Linked DNA regions of Sus scrofa. The protein of the gene in region 1 purifies or fractionates together with the protein of each later gene. This does not show direct contact. Links are inferred from orthologs where the notes say so. Each region holds a gene or a part of one and is shown in the gene's direction. Other genes may lie near its edges. The genes, in order: MAPK14, IQGAP1, DUSP9, DUSP16, CCDC8 and OBSL1.

Region 1 (4,099 bases):
GCAAGAGAACCTGAGCCAAACCATGTTGAATCCAAAGAAAGCTTTCTACAAATCACTCATGACCCTGGTTTTGGGCTTAGTTTTATTTTTCCTTGAGGAGAACTGAGGATCCTGCTCTGCTTCTTAAATTGAGACCATGTCATTATTCATAATTTATTCAACAAATATTTATGGGGGAACTTTTACGTTCTAGGCACTGTGCTAAATGTTGGGGCAAGACAGACAAAGTCTGAGCACTCCAAGGATGCATATAACACAAAAGAGAATAATCATGGTTAGTGGCTTGAACCCAGTTATTTCTAAAAAGAAATGACTAAGAATAGATAGGGTCCAATTCTCCTGCTTATTGTAACAAGGTTTAGCATAGGAATAGGCCAACAGTAGGGGAAGTTATGGGATTATAATCCTCTGCCCATTCACATTTATTATTGTGTTTAGCTTTAAGTAGGGAATGTAGGGCAGGAATTCTCTTTTGCATAAACTGGAACCAAAGTCTAGGAAAGGTCAATTGACTTGCCTAACCGGACACTGCCAGAAGACCACTCTGCACTGTTCTTACTCTGAGAGGCACGATTTAAATGTTTACAATCCTCTTCCCTGGAAAACTCTTCAAGGTAAGAGTCAGTTTCAAACCTTCAGAGTAATGGTGTTAAAAATTCTTTTCAAACGGAGATACCAGGGACTTATCTGAATTACTTGGGGCATATTGTAAAAAGGCACATTCCTGGTGCCCATCGCGGACCTATCCAATTAAACTCGTTGTGGATCCATAGACTCTTCATTTTTAAACTCCCAAGGTGATTCCTCCGCACATAGAAAGTTGAGAACTACTAGTAGAGTTTGGGTGGAAAACCTCAAACTTAATGCAGGGCTAATATTTACCTTTGGGGCAGATTTCGTCAGAATTCCGAAGAGTAAGCCATATGTCCTTGAGCAGATGAGACTGCAACGGCTTTCTGGCCAGAACCTCTTTTTTATGCAATATTTCTTGGAAATTGGAGGTTCCGCTAAGCGGGTGCTCGGCTGCTGTGGTAGTTCAAAGATCCTTTGGCTCTTTCCCGACACCCTATTAGTCACTGTCGCTTTCCACCGGGGAACTAGGCATTTGCCCCGCCGACCACGGTGGGGCGCACGCGGCAAATGTTCGCCGCTTGACCACCTCTTGCCTGGGTCCGCCTTCGCGCCCTCAAGAAGAGCAGTTCCCGGGAGTTCCTGCCTCTGGTGACCAGCTGTTGCTCTCTTCTCGCGAGAATTGCTCCTCCCGTCCTCTCCCCTCAGCAACCCCCGCCCACAGGCAGGTTCCATATTGGGTAAAATCTCGGCTCGCGGAGAGTCCCGGGAGCTGTTCTCGCGAGAGTAAGGCAGGAGGCTTCTGTTCGCTGGCTCTGGAACGGCGACCACTGGAACCTCTGCGGGCGCTGCAGCTGGAGCGGTAGTCCCGCGGCGCAAACCGGAGTCGGCCTGGACTGAAGCGGGTGCAGGGAGAGTGTGGTGGGCGCAGCTTTGAGCCCTGGAGCGCGCCCCTGCCCATAGCAGGGCTCGCCCCAGTCGCCGAGGCGCGTCCAGCTGCTGCGGCTGACAGGGGCCGCGCGCGCGGGAGTTGTCAGGGTCGCGGCAGCCGCACCTGCGCGGGTGGCCAGCTCTAGGTCCCCGCAGGGTCCGGCGGACGCCGAGGTCCGAGGAGCGGGTGCGGGCGCAGGCGGGGCCCCGCAGGGCCACCTCCTCGCCCCGCGGCCGCCGCTGGAAGATGTCTCAGGAGAGGCCCACGTTCTACCGGCAGGAGCTGAACAAGACAATCTGGGAGGTACCCGAGCGTTACCAGAACCTGTCCCCGGTGGGCTCCGGCGCCTATGGCTCCGTGTGGTAAGTGTCACTGGGCCTGGGGCCTTGGTGGGCTGGGTAGCCCTTCATGCCCCAGAGCCAGGCCTGCCCCCACGGCTCAGCAATGCACCAAGCGGCAGGAATTTTCCCTGGGGGGAAGCCATCCCTGCCCCTTTGATCCCTGTCCTGGACTCCCTGTACCCTTGGGACCCCTCACTCAGCACACCCGCGTAGGTAGTCAGCTGTGTGTAGGACGAGGTCCGCAGTGAGTACCCGGTGGTGTTGGGAGCCCGGCGCTGGCTCGCACCCTGCGCGTTCCCTTGTCGGGGGTGGGGTGGGGTGGTTGCTGCTCTGGGGGCAGGAACAGGGGGGCCCTCTTTGGCGGTCTCCCTGCTGTCATCGAACAGAGGGGCTCTCCCGAGGGGCGCCCACTGTGGGCGCCGTAGCTTGCCCTTGGATCAGACAAGCCCGGGAGCTGCCGGGAGGAACAGAAGGGCAAAGCTCGCCAGGGAGACTGCGGTCATCTGAACAAAACTGAGGACGAAGGACGTACCGTCCCGGCTTTTTTTGCAAACCTTTGTCGAAATCCCATTTGGAGAAGCGTTCTTTTTGAATTCGCACTTGAATTAGCAGCTATCCACAGAGCTTAAAATACCGACTTTATCGCGGTGAGCACGGTGCCAACTTGAGTGGTGTGTTTCCGATTCAGTTGAAAGCGTATTTCCTTTTCGCAGAGTTGGGGGTGGGTGGTAGTGCCTGCAAACACCCTGCAGCTTGAGAAGCTGGCGGCTTCACTGATTAGTCACATACCACTGCTCATTTAAGTATTGTTGGACAAAACAATTTTCGCCTTTGGAGCAAGTGAGATTCAGATCCGTTGGACGCCCTTAAGATCAAAAAGTTACTAACAATATTGGGAGGTATTTTAAATATTTTTAAATTGTGATAATTCTTGTGAAATACTGGGCTTTTTAAGTCCCTTAGAGAGTTTGCAGGGAACTTATCTACACTTACAGCCTGAGGTACACCACGGTTTTCATAAGGATATGGAATGTATCGCAAAAGAAGGAAGAGACACTTTTCAGCCTTAATTCATGCTGTGAATGTGTTTTAAACTAAATGGTACCATAACATTTCCGGACCTGAACTATTTCGCTAACTTTTCTAACTTCCCAGGTCTTATACACTATATTTTAGATTTACTGCAATGTAAGAACTCCTGACCATAAGCTAATTCATGTGATTCCTGTGCATGTATCATTTGAAAAGAGGTCTACAAGATTATTTTTATTATTTTTTGTTTTGGCACAAATTCCAGGCTTTTAGACTCGTTAATCTTTAAATATAATTCCTGTGTTTCTTAAAGTCCCAGCATGAATTTCCTGTTTGGTAGAATCTTCTGGGTAATTGAGATTGTGCAATTGTGTCCAGCAACAGATCATATTGCGTTTTCTAGTTCAGGCTGCTTGAGTTATGTTGCTGATGGCACTATGCCTGACATCTTTTTTCCATTTTTATAGTAGGGCAGTTTATATTTTAAGGGAATTTGCAGCATTTAACCATATGCATATATGTGTGCTGTTTATTTGCTAATTTTCGAAGACGATTTTGGATCGTTGCTCCTTTAGTAGCTCATTAGTTTACCTCCATTTTTCATTCTTGACTTGGCACATTAATTTTTGTAGTACTGTGTTTTTCTGTCAAATAATGTTTAAACTTTAATGATGTGATACAGCAGAATAGCTCAGTTATGAAGAGTTTAAGAACTGCTTGCAAGGTTTCTCTGCCTTTGGTGTGACTAGCTATGTCTTGACACTGGAGATTCAGATTTACAGCAAAGTGCCGTTAAAATGAAGTTCACATTTTTTCAGTGCTATACTTTTCTGGTTTATAGAAGCCATCAATAAGTAAGTGACACTTGGAAGTAATTTTGTTAAACAGGTTTTTTGTTTGTTTGTTTGTTTTTGCTTTTTAGGGCCCCACCCACGGCATATGGAAGTTCCCAGGCTAACAGGTTAGGGGTCGAATCTGAGATACAGCTGCAGGCCTATACCACAGCTATGGCAACATGGGATCCAAGCTGAGTCTGCCACCTACACCGCAGCTCACGGCAATGCCAGATCCTTAACCCACTGAGCAAGGCCAGGGATCCAACTTGCATCCTCATGGCTCCTAGTCAGGGTTTTAACTCCTGAGCCATGAAGGGAACTCCCAGTTTTTTAGAAGTAGGTGATACATTCACATAGTATAAAATTCAAAAGTTATAAAAGGATAGTGG
Region 2 (3,500 bases), about 21 Mb from region 1:
AGTGGAGAGGATACAAGCAGAAGAAGGCGTACCAAGATCGCTTAGCCTACCTGCGCTCCCATAAAGATGAAGTTATAAAGGTACGTGGCAGGATGTCTCAACGCGGGACGTGAGTATGACACCTGTTGAGATGCAGGGGCTTTCCTAATTTCCAGCATCTCTCTTCCTTTTTCATAGATTCAGTCCCTGGCAAGGATGCATCAAGCTAGAAAGCGCTATAGAGATCGCCTGCAGTACTTCCGAGACCACGTGAGTACCCCTGGGTAATAAGGACCAACAGCATCAGTTTTGCTGTGTTCATGGTGAACAAGTGAACAGAGGAATTTCTTCTGTTTTGTTCCTTAGATAAATGACATTATCAAAATCCAGGCTTTCATTCGGGCAAACAAAGCTCGTGATGACTACAAGACTCTCAGTGAGTAACTGGCTCGGCAGAGAAGAGTTGAGGCCATCAGGTTCTGTGTATTCTCCACGGATCTCTTTTCTTGTCCTGCAGGCAAGGCTTGGGGGGTAGGGTGCTGCTTGTGACTGAAGCCCCTTTGCTAACCTGTGGCTGGATGTCTTGTGGCTTGCCATGTGCACCTTCCACATAACAACCTAGCAGTAGCATGACTGGGAAGACTGCACTTGGTGTCTGTCTTTGCACATCTCAAAAATAAACAGATGTCTTACATGTGAATAGAGGTTTTTTTTTTTTTTTAAGACAATGCTGATGTTTTCCAAGACACGGAACTTTTTTTTAGCAATTCCATTCTTCATCTGACACATGCTTTCTTTCTGTCAGTCAATGCTGAGGATCCTCCAATGATTGTAGTCCGAAAATTTGTCCACCTGCTCGACCAGAGTGACCAGGATTTTCAGGAGGAGCTTGATCTCATGAAGATGCGGGAAGAGGTCATTACCCTCATTCGTTCTAACCAACAGCTGGAGAATGACCTCAATCTCATGGATATCAAAATTGGACTGCTAGTGAAAAATAAAATTACACTGCAGGTATGGTCCAGTGCCAGCAGGGGCCTTGGGACATTTTTTCCTACCTGGTACCCCCACCTCCCTCTTTATGACCGGAGTGGCTGGCTTTCTTCTCTGCTAATGCCGTAGGTTTTTTCAAAGTTATATAGGAAATGAAATGATTTAATAGCAAAATTTTAAATAGAGAAAAATAGATAAAAATCATCCCGTGATTCTACCACCCCAATAATCATTTTGTATCCTACATTCTTATTTAATGTAGAGGATGAGGTACTTTCTCTATGTGAAGTCATCATAAATATTGTTTTTAATGGCAATATAATAATTCATCAGGAAATAGTCTATGTTTTACCTCTTTTTTCTAGATGATTTGACATTTTCAAATTTTTATTATTACAAAATAACACTGCAGTGAAAGTTTCAATGCATGCATAACTTTTATTGTATTTAAGACTTTGTAAGATAGATTCCTGGAAGTTGGTTTCCTGAATCAGTGGACATTTTTATGGTACAGTTTCTTTATAGGAAGATGAAAGTAGAAATAGATTTGATTGATATACGGAAAGTAGAATATGATGTAGTGATTATAAAATATTTAACGGGTCAGTTCCCATTGTGGTTCATCAGGTTAAGAACCCAACATAGTATCCATGAGGACACACATTCCATCCCTGGCCTCGCTCAGTGGGTTAAGTATCTGGTGTTGCTTTAAGTTGCGGTGTAGGTCTCAGATGCAGCTGGGATCCCTTGTTGCTGTGGCTGTGGTGTGGGCCAGCAGCTGCAGCTCCAGTTCGACCTGGGAACTTCGATATGTCACACATGCAGCTGTAAAACGAAAAAAAAAAAAGAAAAAGAATTTTTAATGTGGATCTGTCAGTGCAGTAGACCTTCAGAAGAGAGTTTTTAGGTGCTAAAAGACCTTATTTCCATAGTGACTGGAGTTTCATCTTTAAAAGCTATTTTTATTTATGTATATGTGTTTGTTTATAGGATGTGGTTTCCCACAGTAAAAAACTTACCAAAAAAAATAAGGAACAGTTGTCTGATATGATGATGCTAAATAAACAAAAGGGAGGTCTCAAGGCTTTGAGCAAAGAGAAGAGAGAGAAATTGGAAGCATATCAACACCTGTTTTATTTACTGCAGGTGAGTGGCTCCTGGAATTATTATTACAAAATGTAAGTTAATTTACTTTTCCACAAGAAAACCTTATGCATAGGTCTCGATGGAAGTCTTACTGGTTTTCGCTAAGGGGGAGAGCAAAGAGATGTCTTATTTTTTTTGATTATTCAGGTACATTTAGTCTTTTGGGCTGAAAACTCGTGAATGTTTGTGTCATCTTCTGTATTATCTACAAGTTATCTCGTGGTTTTATTTCAGACCAACCCCACCTATCTGGCAAAGCTGATTTTTCAGATGCCCCAGAACAAGTCCACCAAGTTCATGGACTCTGTAATCTTTACACTCTACAACTATGCATCCAACCAGCGAGAGGAGTACCTGCTCCTACGGCTCTTTAAGACAGCACTACAGGAGGAAATCAAGTACGAACAGAGTTCTACGGAGCATCGGGCCCTTCCCACTAGCTCACACGCTCAGAGTCTGAGAGTCAGGCCTGCCCGTGGCTTTTCGTGGTCTCAGCACCATGAAGTGTGTGAAATACTTACTCAAAAGAAGCATCTACCAGAGTTTCTGTCATGGCACAGCAGAAACGAATCTGACTAGGAACCATGAGGTTGCCAGTTTGATCCCTGGCCTTGCTCAGTGGGTTAAGGATCCGGCGTTGCCGTGAGCTGTGGTGTAGGTCACAGACATGGCTTGGATCCAGCGTTAGCTCCGATTAGACCCCTAGCCTGGGAACCTCTATATGCCATGGGTGCGGGCCTAAAAAAAAAAAAAAAAAGAGGACAAAAGATGAAAATAAATAAATAAATAAAAGAAGCATCTACCTTTTAAAATGTAATAACAGGAACTCCTGCTGTGGTGCAGTGGGTTAAGAATCTGACTGAAGTGGCTAGGGTCACGGCGGAGGCTTATTCAATCCCCAGCCCCCACCCTGGTGCAGTGAGTTAAAGGATCCAGTGTTGCCACATTTGTGGGCATAGGTTGTGGCTGCAGCTCAGATTCAGTCCATGGCCTGGGAACTTCCATATGCCACAAATGCGGCCATAAAATAAATAAAATAAAAGTGTAATAGTATATATTGTACACTAATACAAATGAATTATACTATACACTAATAGAAACTAATATATGCTAAGTGTAAAATAATATAGGAGTTCCCTGGTGGCCTAGTGGTTTAAGAATCCAGCGTCACTGCTGCTGTGACATGGGTTCTGTCCCTGGTGTGGGAACTTTTTCATGCCGTGGGTGCAGACAAAAAAAACTTGTCTAATGCTAATTAAATTTTATCTAAATGTTTGCTCTGTATTGGCTATTGTGCTCAGGGATAAAGGAATAAACAATTCCAATACAGTCTTTCCTTTAAAAAAAAAAAAAGAACTAGTATAAACACTAATATAAAGTGT
Region 3 (4,062 bases), on another chromosome or scaffold:
CCTTGGCCATTTATCTATTGGAGCCTTAACCTTTTGATTAACTTGTATGAGCTTTATCTTATCTGCTGCACATTTTCCTTCGGCCCTGCTATTTGCTTTAGATGGGTTTTAAGCAGAGAAGGGACACAGAGCCAGACTTTTCAGAAAGCTCCCCCACCTTATTTCATTGTCTCAGCCCTTATCATGCCCCGTATTATCTTGTTCGGTCTCCCCGTTTATTGCCGGCCTGTCCCGCTAGCCGCTAGCCGGGGCGTGCCGGGCGAGCAGGGGCCAGTGTGTCCCGTCTGTTGATCCTCCTGTGTCCATGGAAGGCTTGGAGGCCCCCCGGCCTTCGCTGAGTGGATAAGCTGCGCGGGACGGTGCCGAGGAGGTGCGAGGCAGCCGGGAGGTAGGGCAAGGGCCTTGGAAGCTGTGAGGATGCCCTGTGCCAGGGCAGGGGGGAGAGGGGACAGCACAGGGGCGGGAGACATTGAAGTCGAAAGTACGCGGCTCTTGCCGAGAAAGGAGGCAAAGCCAGAAGCTGGGGCGGCTGCCAGGATCCATAGCGCGGGAAGAGCAGAGCTGTGGGCCTGAGCAGCAGGGGTTTTGGGTGCTGCTTCCTCCTCCCCTCCGTGATTTCAGGGGCCTCCCCTGGTAGCCCAAGGTGGTGGCTCTGATGAGCCTGTTATGTAGACAGGGCCACTCAAGGCCAGTCAGGGCTCAGGATAGTCCCGGGTCCCCCCAGATGAGTAGAGCTGGAGGCAGCCTCTGGGGCAGGGGCGCTGGGCCCTTGTCCTTACCCCTCCCCCTTCCTCCAGGGGCCTGACTGGCGCCGGCCGGGGGAGCTGCAGCTGGTCCCCTGCTGGGCCCCTGACCTGCCCTTGGCCTCTGCCCTGGCCCTGTCCCGCTTCGGTGGAAGCCCCGGCTCAGCGCGCCACTTGCAGGGCCCACTCAACTGCTTTCACTGGCACTCGTTGGCTCGCTGGCCCCCTGAGCCCGCCCCCGCCGCCCCGCCCCTCTAAACGGCAACTCCACGTCCAAAGGCAGCGGCTTCCAAGGTGGAAGCTGGGTCCTGCTGCCAGGAAGCGGCCAGTGTGCCGGCGGTGGTGGACTCGGCCTCCACGTGCGCGCCTGCTCCGCCGGCCCGCCCTCTTCCCAGTGGCCGGGCCCGAGGACACCCTGCCCGGGGCCAGTGCCCCACATCCTGCGGTGGCCGTGGCTGGGACGTCCATGCACGGCCGCTCGCCGCCGGATCACGCTCCAGGTCTCTCTCCTTTTGTTTCCTGCGGGTTGGGGGAGGCAGCTCCGAGAGGTCCAGCCGAGGTCCAGCCCCCCCCTCGGCACCACCTCTGTTCCCCAGGCTGCCTGGCCACGGGGGGCTCTCGGCCTCGCCCCCCTCAGGCGAGCGTGCGCTCACACCCGCCCCCAAAGTTGGAAGCCAGAAAGTGGAGAGAGTGCGTGCGGGCGCGGCGGGCAGGCGGAGTGAGAGATGCGGAAAGGGGATGTGGGGGAAGGTGGCTGTGGCCTTGGGCCCCCCAGGAGGAGCCAGGACGGGACACGGCGCTTGGCTCTGGCTCTGGAAGGGGCCGTTGGACGCCCAGCTGCCCTCTTCTGCGGGACCGAGGAGCAGCGCGGGTATTTGTCTAGGGGCGTGCCAGAGGAGGATTGGGCGGTAGAAGGGTGTCCCCGGGGGACCCCAGCCTCCCGTTTTGGGGACACGGGGTTGGCTTCACGTCTTGGCCCCTGGGCCCGCGGCCCTTCGCGGCCGGGCGCGAAGGACACGGGCTCACGTCGAGCTCCTTCCCTCTCTCTGCAGCTCCTGAGACCCGATCTGCCGGGAGCCGGGAGCCCATGGAGGGTCTGGGCCGCTCCTGCCTGTGGCTGCGCCGGGAGCTGTCGCCCCCGCGGCCGCGGCTGCTGCTCCTGGACTGCCGCAGCCGGGAGCTGTACGAGTCGGCGCGCATCGGCGGGGCGCTGAGCGTGGCCTTGCCCGCGCTGCTCCTGCGCCGCCTGCGGCGGGGGAGCCTGTCGGTTCGCTCGCTGCTGCCCGGGCCCCCGCTGCAGCCGCCCCCGCCCGCCCCAGTGCTCCTGTACGACCAGGGCGGGGGCCGGCACAGGCGCGGGGAGGCAGAGGCCGAAGCCGAGGAATGGGAGGCCGAGTCAGTGCTGGGGACCCTGCTCCAGAAGCTGCGAGAGGAAGGCTACCTGGCGTACTACCTGCAGGGTAGGTGCGGGTGGTGGCCCGGCGGGCACCAGCCTGGGGAGGACCCTGGCCCAGGGGAAGCATTATGCCTTCTGAGGGCAGTCATAATTCCTTTGACCTTGGGCGAGTCTGGCCTCATTTTGTCTAAAGTGGAGGTGGGACCCTGACCGTAACCTTGGGGAAGTCCTTCACTCTTGGGAGCCCCCGTTTCTGAGCCTGGAAGATGGGGCGAATCGGGCCGGCCTCCAGAATAGAGGATCCACGGAGGTCCCGCTGCGGCACAGTGGGTTCACAATCTGGCTTGTCTCTGTGGAGGCACTGGATCCATCCCCAGCCGTCACAGTGGCTAAGGATATGGTATTGCTGCAGCTGTTGCTCAGATTCCCTGGCCCCGGGATTCCATATGCCTCGGGTGCAGCTGAAAAAAAGAAAAAAAAAAAAAAAAGGAGTTCCCCTTGTGGCTCAGCTGGTTAAGAATCTGAATAATATCCATGAGGGTGCGGGCTCAACCCCTGGCCTCACTCAGTGGGTTTAAAAAAAGGAAAATAAAAGGGAGTTCCCGTTGTGGCTCAGCGGTAACAAACCCAACTAGTATCCGTGAGGACGCGGGTTCGATCCCTGGCCTCGCTCAGTGGGTTAAGGATCCGGCATTGCCGTGAGCTGGGGTGCAGGCCACACACACGACACGGATCCCGCGTTGCTGGGGCTGTGGTGTAGACCGGCAGCTACAGCTCCGATTGGACCCCTGGCCTGGGAATCTCCACTTGCTGCAGGTGCGGCCCTAAAAAGACCCCCCCCCAAAAAAAAGGAATAGAGGACCCAGTGTGGGCTCCGAGCCCTATCCCCACCTCCCCCAGCTGCTCAGCCATGGGCAAGGGAGGCAGGCGCTGGGACAAATCCCACTCTGCAAAGGGTCTGGAGAGGGCAGAGGCGGGGAGAGAGGGAGAGAGGCAGTGAAGGCAAGAAGAGGCAGAGACCTGGCCCCCCTATAGTCTTGGCAGGGCTTGGGGGTGGAGGGGAGGTGGGCTGATGCAGGCACACTGGCTCCTTGCCAAGCCAAACACCCCCAGAGATCCAGGGTAGCAACAGGATGCCCATGAACCTGCAGAGCCAGCTGCCCCCCCGCCCCGCCCCGCCCCAAGGAGGTTCGTTGAACCGTCGTCACTTGCTCCATTCTGAGTGCACCAGGATATAGAAATACAGAAAACACTGCGTTTCCAGCCCCCCCCCCCCCCGCACCCGAGGAAATCGTAGTTATTTGCAGGTGGAGGTGTGCGCCTCTTGGGACTTTGGGGCCATGCAGGCGGAGTGCTACACTCTCCCAGGCCTTCTGCCTCTTGGGGCCCCAGCTTCATCCCTGGAGGCAGCACAGACATGGCTGTCACCTGGTCTCTGCCCTCGAGTGCTCCCTGGTCAGGCTGGATCGGGAGACACCCAGGCAGAGAACTCACATCCGACCGTTTCCTCTTCTTTAACTGATGGCTGCTGTCCTCCCCAAGGCTCTCAGGACATCTAAACTCCATGGAGCCTTCCTGCCTGCCTTGGCTCGGCCCCCGGGGTTGTTATAGCCTCTTGGGGTGCCCTGCCTGGGCCTGGCATCTTGCAGCGGCGGTGGGCGCTGGTCCTGAGCCAGCATGGCTGGGCTGTCCCTAGCGCACCACCCGGGACAGCAGGGTAGGTCAGGCCGCTGGCCTGCAGGTTCTCTTTGGAGACGGCTGCGAGCCCCTTGGGGCACTGAGATGGTCCGGGCTCGCTTTCCTCTCCTCAGCCAGAACACTTGGCTGCCCAGGAGGCCAGGTCCATAGGACCCTCCCCTTGTCCCCTCCTAGGTGGCTTCAGCAGATTCCAGGCCGAATGCCCTCACCTGTGTGAGACCAGCC
Region 4 (4,262 bases), on another chromosome or scaffold:
CCCTTTAGAATCTGTTCTAAACAGCAGGACTGTGGTCAGTCGATTATCAGAGCTTTCCTGGAAGAGCACAAGCAGTAACAGCCCGTGGCCACCAGAGGACAGGGCGCAGGGAGCGATTGCTTCCCCTCCATAGAAGTCTTAAAAGAGGTCAAATCTATGGCCTTCAGGCTTCAGTGACTGCCTGATGTGCTCAGCGCATTCCCATCTCCAGGTGGACTCCTTTTTCTCCTCTAAAACATGGGCTGGAAGCTCCTAGAGGCTTACCCTAATACTAACCTGAAATGATTATAATAGCAAATGCACTTTAGCTGCACGATTTAAAGGCAGAAAGGGAGTATGGAGATGTTTCAGCTTTCTCACTCCAAACCTGCTTTTCAGTTCTTTTGCCAATTAAACAAGCAAACAAAAAGCCCCTGGAAGTGTCCAAACAGACATTTCCGAACAAAGATGACTTTCGGGACCAAGGTCCCAAATTGAGTACATTGCAAATGGAACACTTGAGGAGATACACTATTCCTGCCTACAAATTCTGGCTCCTGGAGCAGTTCACTCGCAGTGTGCTTTTCCGTCATTAATCACATCTTTGTTATGTGATATCCACGTGAGTACTTCTCAGTTGAAGCAGCTTCATGCTCAAATGCTCAAAGAACACTAGAATAAAGATCTGATTGTCCTAGTCAGTGATTCCAAGTCCTGGATTGTCACCACCTCAGGTCTCTAGTTTCCCCAAGTGTGTAATGTAGTTTCAAAACAAAGCTATTTTAATTAGTCCAAATTTAAAAATGCACGAAGTGTGTGAAGTTAAATCAATGGGGTCTTGCACCTCTCAAGAGGCAGTGAACCTCTGTTTTGATTTCAAGATGATTCTGTGCTGCCCGATATAGAACATACCTCTAAAGAGCATTTTAGGCTGCTCATTCCCATTACATTTGTAAATAGGAAATGTTGAGTAAATTTAATCAAAGTAAAATAATGAATATTAGGAGCATTCAGGTGGGGGCTTTCAATGACAGACACAGAGAGGCAGCTGAGTGCCTGACCACCTGAATGTGATTTTTCTTAAAGTACCTGTTACTTCTCTTTCCTAAGAGACGGCGGTGCCCTGCATTTTGGGTTTTTAAAGAGCGATTGTAATTCTCTCAAATCATTGTTTGCGTTTCTTCACGCTGGGGAGGCAGCTGGAAACAGCCCAACCAGGAGGAAAAGGTTCTGCTCCTCGCTGGCGTGGGGGTGGGGGATGCGACCCTGAAATACCTGTTGGGGCGCGGCGCTAAGGCGCGCGGCCGAGACCAGGCAGGGAGGTCGGGGTTCGGGGCCCCCGGGGGCGGCGGGCACGCGGGCGCGGAAGGAGGAGGCCGCGGGTCCGCCTCCCCCAGCCGCCCGGCTCCTCCCAGCGGCGCCCGCGGAACCTGCCCCGGAGCCGCCGGGCCCCGGAACGGAACGTGACCCGTCCCCTCCCCGAGCGGCCGCGACCAGGCGCCGAGCCCCGCTCCGGACTTGGGCGGGCGGCGCGCGGCCCCGCCCGGCGCCCACCGCCCTGCCCTCGCCTGTCTCCTCCTTTCCCCGGGGCTCCGCTGAGTTCATTCACTGGGATTGGTTTCAAGTGACGCCATCTCTTTATTTTTAAACCAATGACCTCATCCGCGCTTGAAGTTTCCTGACCAGCGACTCTTTCTCTTTTCCCCCACCCCCACCCCACCCCCCCCGCCTTTCCCCCTCTTTCTGGGTGTCCCTGTTTGGGGGGCTCTGATCAGTTTTCAAACGACTATCATCACCTCTCCCTGCCCCCGCCGCCCCCCCACCTCCCCAGGTTCCTCACCCCTTTCAGCAGTGTTTTTTCAAGGCTGATCGGGGGTGGGGGGGAGAGAAAGAGTGAAGAAAAGTTGCAAACTTCTCCTCGCTTCCTAAGCCTCCCGCCCCCACCCGCCCCTCCGAGCAGGAGAAGATAATATAGTGAAAAGAAGAGGAGGAGGAGAGCGCGACGGGACGGACGCGAGCAGGAGCGCAGCCGCCCTCCCGGCTCCGCCGCGGCGCCTCGCAGGTCCGGGAGGCGAGGGGGCCCCGCGGGGAGACGCCGTGACAACTTTCATTTCCCCCCGAGAGAGCCGGGAGGTCGGTAGCTCCCCAAGTAAGTGGCCGCGCGGACGGCGGGGTGGGAGGGCGCGGGGCCGGGCGCCCGCCGCGCCGGCAGCATGGACGCTCCTTCGCGCGCCCCGGCTGCTCTGCCCTCCCGGCGGCCGGGCCCGGGTCGGCGGGCGGGCGGGCGGGGTGGGGGCGACCGCGGCCCGGAGCGGCGCGCGCGTGGGAAGCTGGGGGGGGGGACGAGGGGGGCCGCGCGGGGAGGGGGCGGGGGACGGCGCGGGGACTGGGGCCGAGCGGCCGGGTCCCGCCGCCAGGAGCCGCCGGCGGTCGCGGTCCCTTCGCGGGCGAAGCCGCTCGCTTCCAGGCGCGACTGTTACACAACACGCCTGCCAAGTGGGGCCCCGGCCTGACGGTTCCCATTATCCCCAACTCGCCCTGGGTGTAAGCAGCGGGGCCACCTGGGTGGTGACGGGGCCGCTTTCTTCCACCAACTCGCTTTTCATGCGCTGCCCCCGCCCTCCTACACAGGCAGGGTGTTGGGGGCTCGGTGTGCCAGTGACTTCTTTATTTACACTAACCCTAAAACGTGAGAAAGGAAAAAGCCCGGGGAGACAACCGAGGGTCTGTGTATCGAGTGTACTTTTCATGTAATGAAACACCGGGGAGGAAAATATTTGTGCAAGACTGAAGATTTCAGGTGCTGCCGGGCTTATTTCCTTTAAAACTTCAACAATAACAACCTGGGAATTAACTTGAGAAAATATAAGGAGATCTTAAAATGAATGGATATGGCAAAATCCTGAAGAAGTTTCTCAACCGTCCGCTGCAAAGATCCTAAATAAAATCCCCAGTGCCTCGAATCGTTTGGAGAAAGCACACCTCCATCCAGCCTGTGATGAATAAAGTGGAGAGGAAAAACCTGTTACATAATCTCATTTGCCCGGGGGTTTGCAGTGCCGTCCCCTTGCATCAAGGGGAAGTGAGTTAAGATGCAGGGTGTTTTAAACTCTCTGAAGTTTTTATTTACCCAGTGTTCTGGCTGCCACTTCTGCTTTAAAAGATTATAAGTAAATACTCTGCTCTTACAAGGGAACCAAACCTATCAAACCTGTTTAGAAAATGACCAGGTATGTTTCTTTGCTTTCTTTCCGGGCTGTTTGTGTGTGTGAAATTTACCATCCATGAGAGACCTTATGACTAGTATTTGGGGAACTTAGACTGTCAGATCTTTAAGCCACTCATCTTTAAGTGCACGTTAAGTGACAACTGCTTCCTCAGAGGATTTATGCTATTCCGAACCACATCAAGAGCAAAGATTTTTGAAGTTAAGGTAAATTTTTAAAAGGAGCGAATTCTTACCAATGGAATCAGTCACTTGTGAATTATTTACTTTTCCTTGAGAATCCTGTATTTTGGTGGACAGACAGCTTGGGAGGCTGTAGTTAATTGAGACTTGTGGAATTCTGGTTTTGGTGAAGGTAGCAACCTGGAAAAGGTAAATTGAAAAACTAAGAGCTTGGGAGTTAGGTATTTTAGTCAAAACGTGACTAGGCACTGTGAAAGTTTTTTTTGTTTTTGTTTTTGTTTTTTTTGTATAAGTAAAGTTCTGGAATTTAAGTGAGTTTGATAACTGTGTGAAATCTTGTTGTTAAAAAAACATTGGGGGCAGTTAACATGTTCATGTAAAAAAATCAGCCCCAAAGTTGGTTTTAGGTAAAATGTACTTATCAAAGTTCTATATGGGGGAAAAAGGTAAAAATGAGTTTATTCTGAATTCTGCTGGTATGGTGAATAACATGAAAAAAAAAAAAAGTAGATTGAAGCACTGTAAACCTGCATTCAGATGTAAAAATAATTGAATACCTGTAAACTAGTCATGTAAAATTGAGGATTTGGGATCTCTTTGGCCAAAAGCTTAATGGGAGTAACTGAAAAGGGGGCAAAAGAGAAGATCCTGTTAACCCAGTTCTTTTCCTTTTTCTTAAACATTAGAAACTCTTTTGTGGAAGTGAGGCTGAGATCAAGTCTGAGATGAGTGCAGAGTTTAGGCTGGGGTCATTGGAAGGGCCAGGGTTGGTGTTTTGATGTTCTTTTCTATAAATGCCTGTATTGGGAATTTAAATTCCATAGATTTTCTGGCCTATGGGATTACATGTTGAGGAAGCTCACTTACATAGCTG
Region 5 (3,974 bases), on another chromosome or scaffold:
GCTTAAGGATCCAGTATTGTCACTGCTGTGGCATGGGCTAGATCCCTAGCCTGAGACCTTCTGCACGGCCAACAACAAAAAAAGATGACATTTGAGCAGAGGGAGATTGCCAAGAGAAGGTAGGGGCAGAACTTTCTGGGTGTTGGGACCAGTGATGCAAAGGACCTGAAGGTGGAGGTAAGCCCGATTTATTGGATGACCAATGAGGAGGCAGGTGTGGCTGGAGTGGAGTGAGGAAGAGAGAAAGAGAGCGGGAAGTGGGACTTTGTGGGTGATGGCGAGGACTTTAAAATTAGAGGAGAGGAGTTCCCGTCGTGGCGCAGTGGTTAACGAATCCGGCTAGGAACCATGAGGTTGCGGGTTCGATCCCTGCCCTTGCTCAGTGGGTCGGGGTTCCGGCGTTGCCGTGAGCTGTGGTGTAGGTTGCAGACGCGGCTCGGATCCCGAGTTGCTGTGGCTCTGGCGTAGGCTGGCAGCTACAGCTCCGATTCGACCCCTAGCCGGGGAACTTCCATATGCCGCAGGAGCGGCACAAGAAATAGCAAAAAGACAAAAAAAAAAAAAAAAAAAAAAAAAAAATTAGAGGAGAGACAGATCTGGCTTAAGTTGCTAGGTTGGGGGTGGATTGATTATAGGCAGTGAGAAGGAAGCAGGGAGCCCCACGAGGAGGGATTTGTATGGATCCAGGCAAGCATTGAGGGCAGCTGGACATGCGATGGCTTTTAAGGGGTCAAACAGCCTAGCACTCTCAGGAGGACGCAGATCAGCTGTATCTTCAGAGCCTGGAGTTAGTTCTAACGTCTGGGATCTGGTTCAAATATCTGGCTCTCCACTTCGAACTGTGCAATCGGGGACCAGCCTCAGTGTCCCCAGCTGTAAGGAGATGATAGTGAAGGCATTCACCTTTCGGTGTAGCTCTGCAGATTCATAACAGGCCCACTCAGGATGCCTGGTTTCAAAGAAAGCATCCATGCAGGTTAACCGTTATTATTACTAAGGCAGTTGTTGCTGTGCATGTGGTTGCCTCACAGTTACCCAAGAAGCTTTGCGAATCCTGACCCTTTAATTTAACTTATTTCAATTAACATTTTTGAGGTATCTGAGGTCCTTCAATTTAATTTAACTTATTTCAGTTAACATTTTTGATTGTTAAAAATTGAAGCACTCCAAAATGATAGAGTGAAAAGTCATGTGAAAAGTGAAAAGCCACCTCCGGGGTCCCCAGATATAGCCACTGTTGGCAGTGCTTCTACACATGACAAATGTATGTATACACCTAGGCCCTTTGGTCTACACACACATTAGACTGTTTCAGAATCAAATCCAGGTTCAGTCTTCTTCCTGGCCATGTGACCTTGAGCAAGAGATTGATTTTATTTCCTCAGCTGTACAATGGGAATGAGCATCGTATTATCTGTATCCTGATGTTTTTGTGTGAATTTTATGAGTTAATTTATAAAAAGCACTTAGCATGGTCCTTCGTACGTAGGAAGTGCTCCCTAAAATGTGTTTATTCTCAGTCACTTCTCTTTTTCATAACGGCCTAGTATTTCACCGTTAGTCCCTACCGGTGAACAATTAGGTGCATTCATTCACTCAAAAATATTTCTTGAGCACCTACTCTGTGCCAAGCCCCATGATGAGCTGCAATAAGACCTTGATACCAGGTTCTTCACCCACATGTCTGGGTATATGGCTAGGAACTGCCGGTACCCAAAGTCACTTAATTTTAAGATGGTACTATACTGTCAGTGGCTTTCCAAGGGATTGCCCGATGATGAGCGCGCCCACCTTCAGGGCTGGGCTGGAACCCGCACTTTTGGGACGGTAGTTTCGGGAACTGCTGCCTTTCTCAGAGAAAGCTGCTGACGTGGGCGTCGGCACCGCAGGCCTTTGGCTTGGAAGCCGGGGCCCCTGAGAGGCCCGGGGCGCAGCCACACCCCTGGGGGGGAGGGCGGCGAGGGCGCCCCAAGGGGAGTGGACAGCCCCCCTGTCAGTCTTCCCCGAGTCCGGGAGTGTAAGCCGAGCAGGGAGAAGGTGGGCCTCATCCAGGGGGAAGGCGAGGAGGAACTTCCTGCCCGCGCGCGCACTCGCCGGCCCTGGGCGCGCAGGCTGGGGGCGGAGGCGCGTCAAGGTCAGCCTGGACCGAGGTGGCAGCCTGCCTAGGGGCGGGAGACCCTCCTGGGGAGCTGGCTGCGGCCTCCAAGAGCCTCGGCCATATTGAACAGCCACAGCTGAGCCGTCTTTGTCTGCAAAGTCCTTTCCCAAGTTCCAGGGACGTCCCCTGTGCCTGGCACAGGAAGAGCCACCAGCAGTCCTTACACTGAGTTGGAGCCGGGACACCCATTTACAGCTTGCGGCGGGCTTGGAACCTTGAGACTCCGACTCACGTAAGCACCCTGAATCGATTCCCACCAGTCCTTGAGGGGAGCGAACTGGATCACGACCCGACTTGTTGCGGGCAGAGAAACTGGGAGGTGAGATTCCCGGCCGCGCTCTTGGGACCGCATCCCCACCCCAAGACTCGGCGCTGCGAGTAGTTTGGGCTCCTTGCCCGCACTTTAGATTTCACCCTGGAGATCTTAAAGACCCTCGAGAAAAGCCACGTGGGGGGCTGGTTCCCCTGGGGCTTCCTCCCTTCCCCTGATTGCCTGATCCTCTGGAGCGTCCCCGACATCTGCAAAGATGTGGATTTGGACGTCCTCGTGGAAGCCTTGAAGCCGGTGGGGACATTCAAGAAGATCGGCAAGGTGTTCCGCCGCGAGGAGGACTCCACGGTGGGGATGCTGCAGATCGGCGAGGACGTAGACTATTTGCTCATCCCCCGCGAGGTCAGGCTGGCGGGAGGCGTCTGGAGGGTTATCTCCAAGCCCGCCACCAAGGAGGCGGAATTTCGGGAGCGGCTGATCCAGTTTCTGGAGGAAGAAGGCCGCACCCTGGAGGATGTGGCCCGCATCATCGAGAAGAGCACCCCCCACCCGCCCCAGCCCCCTAAAAAGCCCAAGGAGCCCGGATCGAGGAGGAGAGTCCCGCAGATGGTGACGCCACCTCCTCGGCTGGTCGTGGGTACTTATGACAGCAGCAATGCCAGTGACAGCGAGTTCAGCGACTTTGAAACCTCCAGAGACAAGGATGACAAGGACCACAAAGGCACGGGGCGTGGAAGGAGGCTGCGCAAAATGCCTGTCAGTTACCTGGGCAGCAAATTCCTTGGGAGCGACCTGGAGAGCGAGGATGACGAGGAACTGGTTGAGGCCTTCCTGCGGCGAGGAGAGAAGAAGCCCAGTGCCCCGCCGGCCCGCCGCCGTGTGACCCTGCCAGTGCCCATGTTTGAGGACAATCCGGGACCCCAGCTGTCCAAGGCTGATAGATGGCGGGAATATGTCAGCCAGGTGTCCTGGGGGAAGCTGAAGCGGAGGGTGAAGGGCTGGGCACCGAGGTCCAGCCCAGGGGTGGGTGAGGCCCGGCAGGCCTCTACCAGGGTGGAGAGGGATGGCGCATCGGTGCCAGGCAGCTCAAGCCTCGGGGAGGACAGGGGAAATGCAGGAGATGGGCGGGTGCCTGAGAATCCCCCAAGTCGGTGGAGACCCAAAATCAATTGGGCCTCCTTCCGTCGTCGCAGGAGGGAGGAAGCCCCAACTAGAGCTCAGAGAACAGAGGCTGCAGATGATCAGAGGGCAGAGGTAGTAGTGGTCCCGGGGGCAGAGGCCATAGCTCTCCAGGGGGCAGAAGCTGTGGATAATCAGAGGGCTGAGGCCCCTGCTGCTCAGGGGGCAGAGGACCCAACTGTCCAGAGAGTAGAGGCTGCAGATAATCAGAGGGCAGAGGCCCTAGCTGTCCAGGGGGCAGAGGCGCCAGCTGTCCAGAGGGCAGAGGCCATTCCTGACCAGAGGGCAGAAGCTGCATGTAGTCAGAGGGCAGAGGCCCTGGCTGTCCAGGAAGCTGAATCCTCAGCTGCTTGGAGAGCCACAGGG
Region 6 (3,500 bases), on another chromosome or scaffold:
CCACATTCCTCGGTCCCATCCTCCCCGCCGTTCCTTTTTTGCCTCCCCCCAGATCGCTTCAGCCACTGACCTAACCTACCTACCTGGCCGCTGTGGGCATTTGAGTTTGCGACCCCTGCGTTTAACCAATAAACACGCAAATAAATGTACAGCGACACCTCGTGACAAAGTGCTGTGAGGGCTGAGGACTCAAGAGGACAGAGCAGGAAGTCAAGGAGGGCCTTGGGGAAAGTCACCATGCCACCTGCAGGCGTCAGCCCTGGCTCACAGACACACACGCACACCTCTGGCAGAAAAGCCAGGCACGATAGAGGGTCTTAGAGTGGGGATTGCTGAGTGTCCCCATAGGGTGCAGTGGGAGCCCAAGGCTGGGGGCTGCTAAGTGTTTAGTGGACCGGCGGTGTCTTCAGATATTTGGAGTAGGGGCTGAGTTAGCTGAGTGGCGGTCAGGGTTTGGGCTGAAAAGGTGGGGAGAGAATGTCCAAAGTGGGGAGAGCCCAGGATGACTGCGGCAGAACTGGTTCAGTGCCGGAAACTGGGGGCTGCAGCCCAAAGCGCCAGTCCCAGTGTGTATGTGACGGGGTGGGGAGTGTGTGCCTAGGCAGGTCTGGGTGGCACAGGAGAATCCCACTGGCTGCACTGGAGTGACCTCTTGCTGCTAGCACCGTCAGCATGTGGTGGCCCTCTCCCCTGCCTAGCTGGGCTCCTCAGGGCCCCCGACTCCCTGCACCCCAGATAGTGCAGCCTGATGCGCACAAGCTACGACATCAGAGACACCTTTCCACACACATTCTTCCCTGTAGTGAGTCCCTTCAGCATCTCCCACCCTAAGCCCTGGCCAGACATAATGGCCACAGCCACACACATGCCAGTCCACACTTGGCCTCCGCACAAAACACCAGATTCTTCACGGGGAAGCTCACACAACACACCACCTTGGCTGTGGACCAGGAGAATCAAGTTGGATGCCAAGCTGAGACCCCACGGCCATGCAGGTACCCCAGCCCCATCACTGCACCCTGTCCTCACGCCACTGCCTCCATCATCTACCCCACCTCTCAGGAAGCCTCATCCTGCAATCTACTGCCCCTACCGGGCCCCAGAGAACCAGCTTGCATCCTCTAGACTCTCAGAACAAGCCCATTTAGGGAGGCAGAGGCAAGGCTGTGGACACGTGCCTCTGTTAACAACCTAGATGGGGAAGCTAGCAGTTCCACAGCCCAGCCACAAGGGGGCGAAATGTTAAAGGAGCCCTAAAGTGTCCTGGAGACTTGATTCTGGAAGACCTCTGAGGTGTGGAAGCGTGGGCATGCCCTGGGCTCAGCTCCAGGATCACCTCCAACATTGACACGGCTCATTTCTGTGGAAGACTGGCCAGTTCAGGGGAGTTGGAGATGAACTCCTAGAATCAGCGGTTAACATCCCTCGGGGAACTCTTAGACAGATGTTGGCAACTCCTATGCTCATTACTGAGTTTCCTGCATGCCTTAGCTTGGAATCCCTACCACTGCTTATAGAGTGTGAGCCTCTTTTACCAGACAGTAGTTCTCCCTCCTGCCCTTGAGTAGGTATAGCTAGCTGCGACCTTGAGGAATTTACTTAGCCGCTCTGTGGCTCAGGTTCCTCATCCGGGAAATGGGAATAAGACTATGTTGGCGTTTGCTGATGCCCTAGTGATTAAGGATTCAGTATTGTCGCTGGTGTGGCTCGGGTTCAATCCCTGCCCCAGGAACTTATGCATGCCATGAGCCCCCCACCCGCCCCCTGCAAAAAACCCACAAAAAATTATACCTACGTCCTAGGATTGCTATGAGGATGTAAGGTGCTACTTACAACTGTTCCTGGAACTTTAGGAAGTAGTACGTAAGGGCTGAGGACTCAAGAGGACAGAGCAGGAGGTCAAGGAGGGCCTTGGGGAAAGTCACCATGCCACCTGCAAGCGTGTTTTGTGCGGAGGCCAAGTGTGGACTGGCATGTGTGTGGCTGTGGCCTTCCCTTAGCCACAATTCTGAAATTAAAAGAAAAAAAAAAAAAAGCCTCGCAATCAAAAGGCTTTCTGTAAATTTGGTATCAAAAGCCACTTCAGGAAAACCTGAGCTTAATTCTCTGAAACTATTGCCAATTTTCGATTATCCTGCTTAGGGCGGATATGTCTGTATGTTACACTGCAGAAGTGTTAGTGTAATTGATTATGGGGGGGGTGTCGCCGTGGGGGCTGAGGGAAGCGATATATGATAAATGCACCGTTTCTGGAACCGGGAGCATTCTGGATTCTGTAACAGGGACTTCAGATTGTGGACTATTGTTCCTTGTTATTATTATCCTTATTACTCTTGTGGTTGTGGGTGACAGGGACTCCCTGCTACTGGACGGCTCCAGGGAGGCTGACAGTGAGTTTGTGACAGCCTGTGGTTGCCCCCATTCTGCAGAACCCCCAGTCCGCATCATATACCCCCGGGACGAGGTGACCTTGGTCGCCGTGAGCCTGGAGTGTGTGGTGCTGATGTGTGAGCTGTCTCGGGAGGACGCCCCCGTGCGCTGGTACAAGGATGGGCTGGAGGTAGAGGAGAGCGAGGCCCTGGTGCTGGAGAGTGACGGGCCCCGCCGCCGCCTGGTGCTGCCCGCTGCCCAGCCGGAGGACGGGGGCGAGTTCGTGTGTGACGCCGGAGATGACTCAGCCTTCTTCACTGTCACCGTCACAGGTGGGCAATCTCTGGGACAGACACCCTAGGGAGGTAGAGAAGCAGGAGGCTGAGGAACAGATACCCAACCCTCCCACTTCCTGCACCTTCTCCCCACCAGGCCCCCAAGCTGGTGCGCACAGCCTTCCTTTGTCCAGTCTTCCCTCCTCCCCCAGGCCCTCCTTCTCAGCCATCAGAGAGCCCTGGCTTGCCCAGAGCAGGGGGGAACAGTGACAGAGGCCTGGTGGAGAGCTCAGCAATCAGGATCATTCGTCCATTCATTTATTCAACAAATACTTTGTGCTCTGCACTGTTCTGGATGCTAAGAGATATAGCAGCGAACCAAGAAGAGAAACCCGTGTTCATGGAGCTTGCAGATAGCAAATAAGTAAAATAGATGGTTTTTCAGGTAGTGATCAGTGCATTGGAGGCAAAGCAGGGAAAGGGGGTAGGAAGTGGGGGCCGGGTAGGGAGGGCTGTGCACTGGGGTCAGATCTGGCTGTGAGTGTGGGTCTGCCTCTTTCTGTCCATGTGAACTTGGGCAAGTCAGTTCCCTATAAAGATGCCTCAGTTCCTCGCATATAAAGAGAAGCCGGGAATTCCGATTGCAGCTCAGTGGGTTAAGAACCCAACTAGTGGTGTTCCCCTTGTGACCTAGCAGTTATCGAATCTGACTAGCATCCATGAGGATGCGGGTTCGATCCCTGGCCTCACTCAGTGGGTTAAGGATCTGGCCTTGCTGTGAGCCGTGGTGTAGGTCACAGGCGCAGCTTGGATCTGGCGTTGCTGTGGCTGTGGTGTAGATCTGATTCACCCCCT

What was found.
Region 2: the proteins of MAPK14 (region 1) and IQGAP1 purify together in Homo sapiens (affinity purification with mass spectrometry; 3 studies listed by BioGRID and IntAct, counting the BioPlex papers as one, with this or other methods). This does not show direct contact. The link is inferred for Sus scrofa from reciprocal best matches to the Homo sapiens genes MAPK14 and IQGAP1.
Region 3: the proteins of MAPK14 (region 1) and DUSP9 purify together in Homo sapiens (affinity purification with mass spectrometry; 8 studies listed by BioGRID and IntAct, counting the BioPlex papers as one, with this or other methods). This does not show direct contact. The link is inferred for Sus scrofa from reciprocal best matches to the Homo sapiens genes MAPK14 and DUSP9.
Region 4: the proteins of MAPK14 (region 1) and DUSP16 purify together in Homo sapiens (affinity purification with mass spectrometry; 7 studies listed by BioGRID and IntAct, counting the BioPlex papers as one, with this or other methods). This does not show direct contact. The link is inferred for Sus scrofa from reciprocal best matches to the Homo sapiens genes MAPK14 and DUSP16.
Region 5: the proteins of MAPK14 (region 1) and CCDC8 purify together in Homo sapiens (affinity purification with mass spectrometry; 3 studies listed by BioGRID and IntAct, counting the BioPlex papers as one, with this or other methods). This does not show direct contact. The link is inferred for Sus scrofa from reciprocal best matches to the Homo sapiens genes MAPK14 and CCDC8.
Region 6: the proteins of MAPK14 (region 1) and OBSL1 purify together in Homo sapiens (affinity purification with mass spectrometry; 6 studies listed by BioGRID and IntAct, counting the BioPlex papers as one, with this or other methods). This does not show direct contact. The link is inferred for Sus scrofa from reciprocal best matches to the Homo sapiens genes MAPK14 and OBSL1.

Annotation. Positions count from the first base shown.
Region 1 is NC_010449.5:31,790,299-31,794,397, forward strand, and holds the start of MAPK14 (mitogen-activated protein kinase 14), read left to right. Parts: upstream 1-1,305; 5' UTR 1,306-1,747; coding exon 1,748-1,863; intron 1,864-4,099. Other genes in the region: SLC26A8 (testis anion transporter 1), read right to left, coding at 883-1,305. UniProt on the Homo sapiens protein: Serine/threonine kinase which acts as an essential component of the MAP kinase signal transduction pathway.
Region 2 is NC_010449.5:53,100,479-53,103,978, forward strand, and holds part of IQGAP1 (ras GTPase-activating-like protein IQGAP1), read left to right. Parts: coding exon 1-80; intron 81-177; coding exon 178-249; intron 250-345; coding exon 346-415; intron 416-784; coding exon 785-993; intron 994-1,962; coding exon 1,963-2,118; intron 2,119-2,352; coding exon 2,353-2,516; intron 2,517-3,500. UniProt on the Homo sapiens protein: Plays a crucial role in regulating the dynamics and assembly of the actin cytoskeleton.
Region 3 is NC_010461.5:124,408,279-124,412,340, forward strand, and holds the start of DUSP9 (dual specificity protein phosphatase 9), read left to right. Parts: upstream 1-1,262; 5' UTR 1,263-1,481; coding exon 1,482-1,614; intron 1,615-1,795; coding exon 1,796-2,203; intron 2,204-4,011; coding exon 4,012-4,062. UniProt on the Homo sapiens protein: Inactivates MAP kinases. Has a specificity for the ERK family.
Region 4 is NC_010447.5:59,868,440-59,872,701, forward strand, and holds the start of DUSP16 (dual specificity protein phosphatase 16), read left to right. Parts: upstream 1-1,462; 5' UTR 1,463-2,128; intron 2,129-2,610; exon of another isoform or gene 2,611-3,209; intron 3,210-4,262. UniProt on the Homo sapiens protein: Dual specificity protein phosphatase involved in the inactivation of MAP kinases. Dephosphorylates MAPK10 bound to ARRB2.
Region 5 is NC_010448.4:52,473,334-52,477,307, forward strand, and holds the start of CCDC8 (coiled-coil domain-containing protein 8), read left to right. Parts: upstream 1-1,174; 5' UTR 1,175-2,783; coding exon 2,784-3,974. UniProt on the Homo sapiens protein: Core component of the 3M complex, a complex required to regulate microtubule dynamics and genome integrity. It is unclear how the 3M complex regulates microtubules, it could act by controlling the level of a microtubule stabilizer.
Region 6 is NC_010457.5:121,567,815-121,571,314, reverse strand, and holds part of OBSL1 (obscurin-like protein 1), read left to right. Parts: exon of another isoform or gene 1-149; intron 150-2,429; coding exon 2,430-2,702; intron 2,703-3,500. UniProt on the Homo sapiens protein: Core component of the 3M complex, a complex required to regulate microtubule dynamics and genome integrity. It is unclear how the 3M complex regulates microtubules, it could act by controlling the level of a microtubule stabilizer.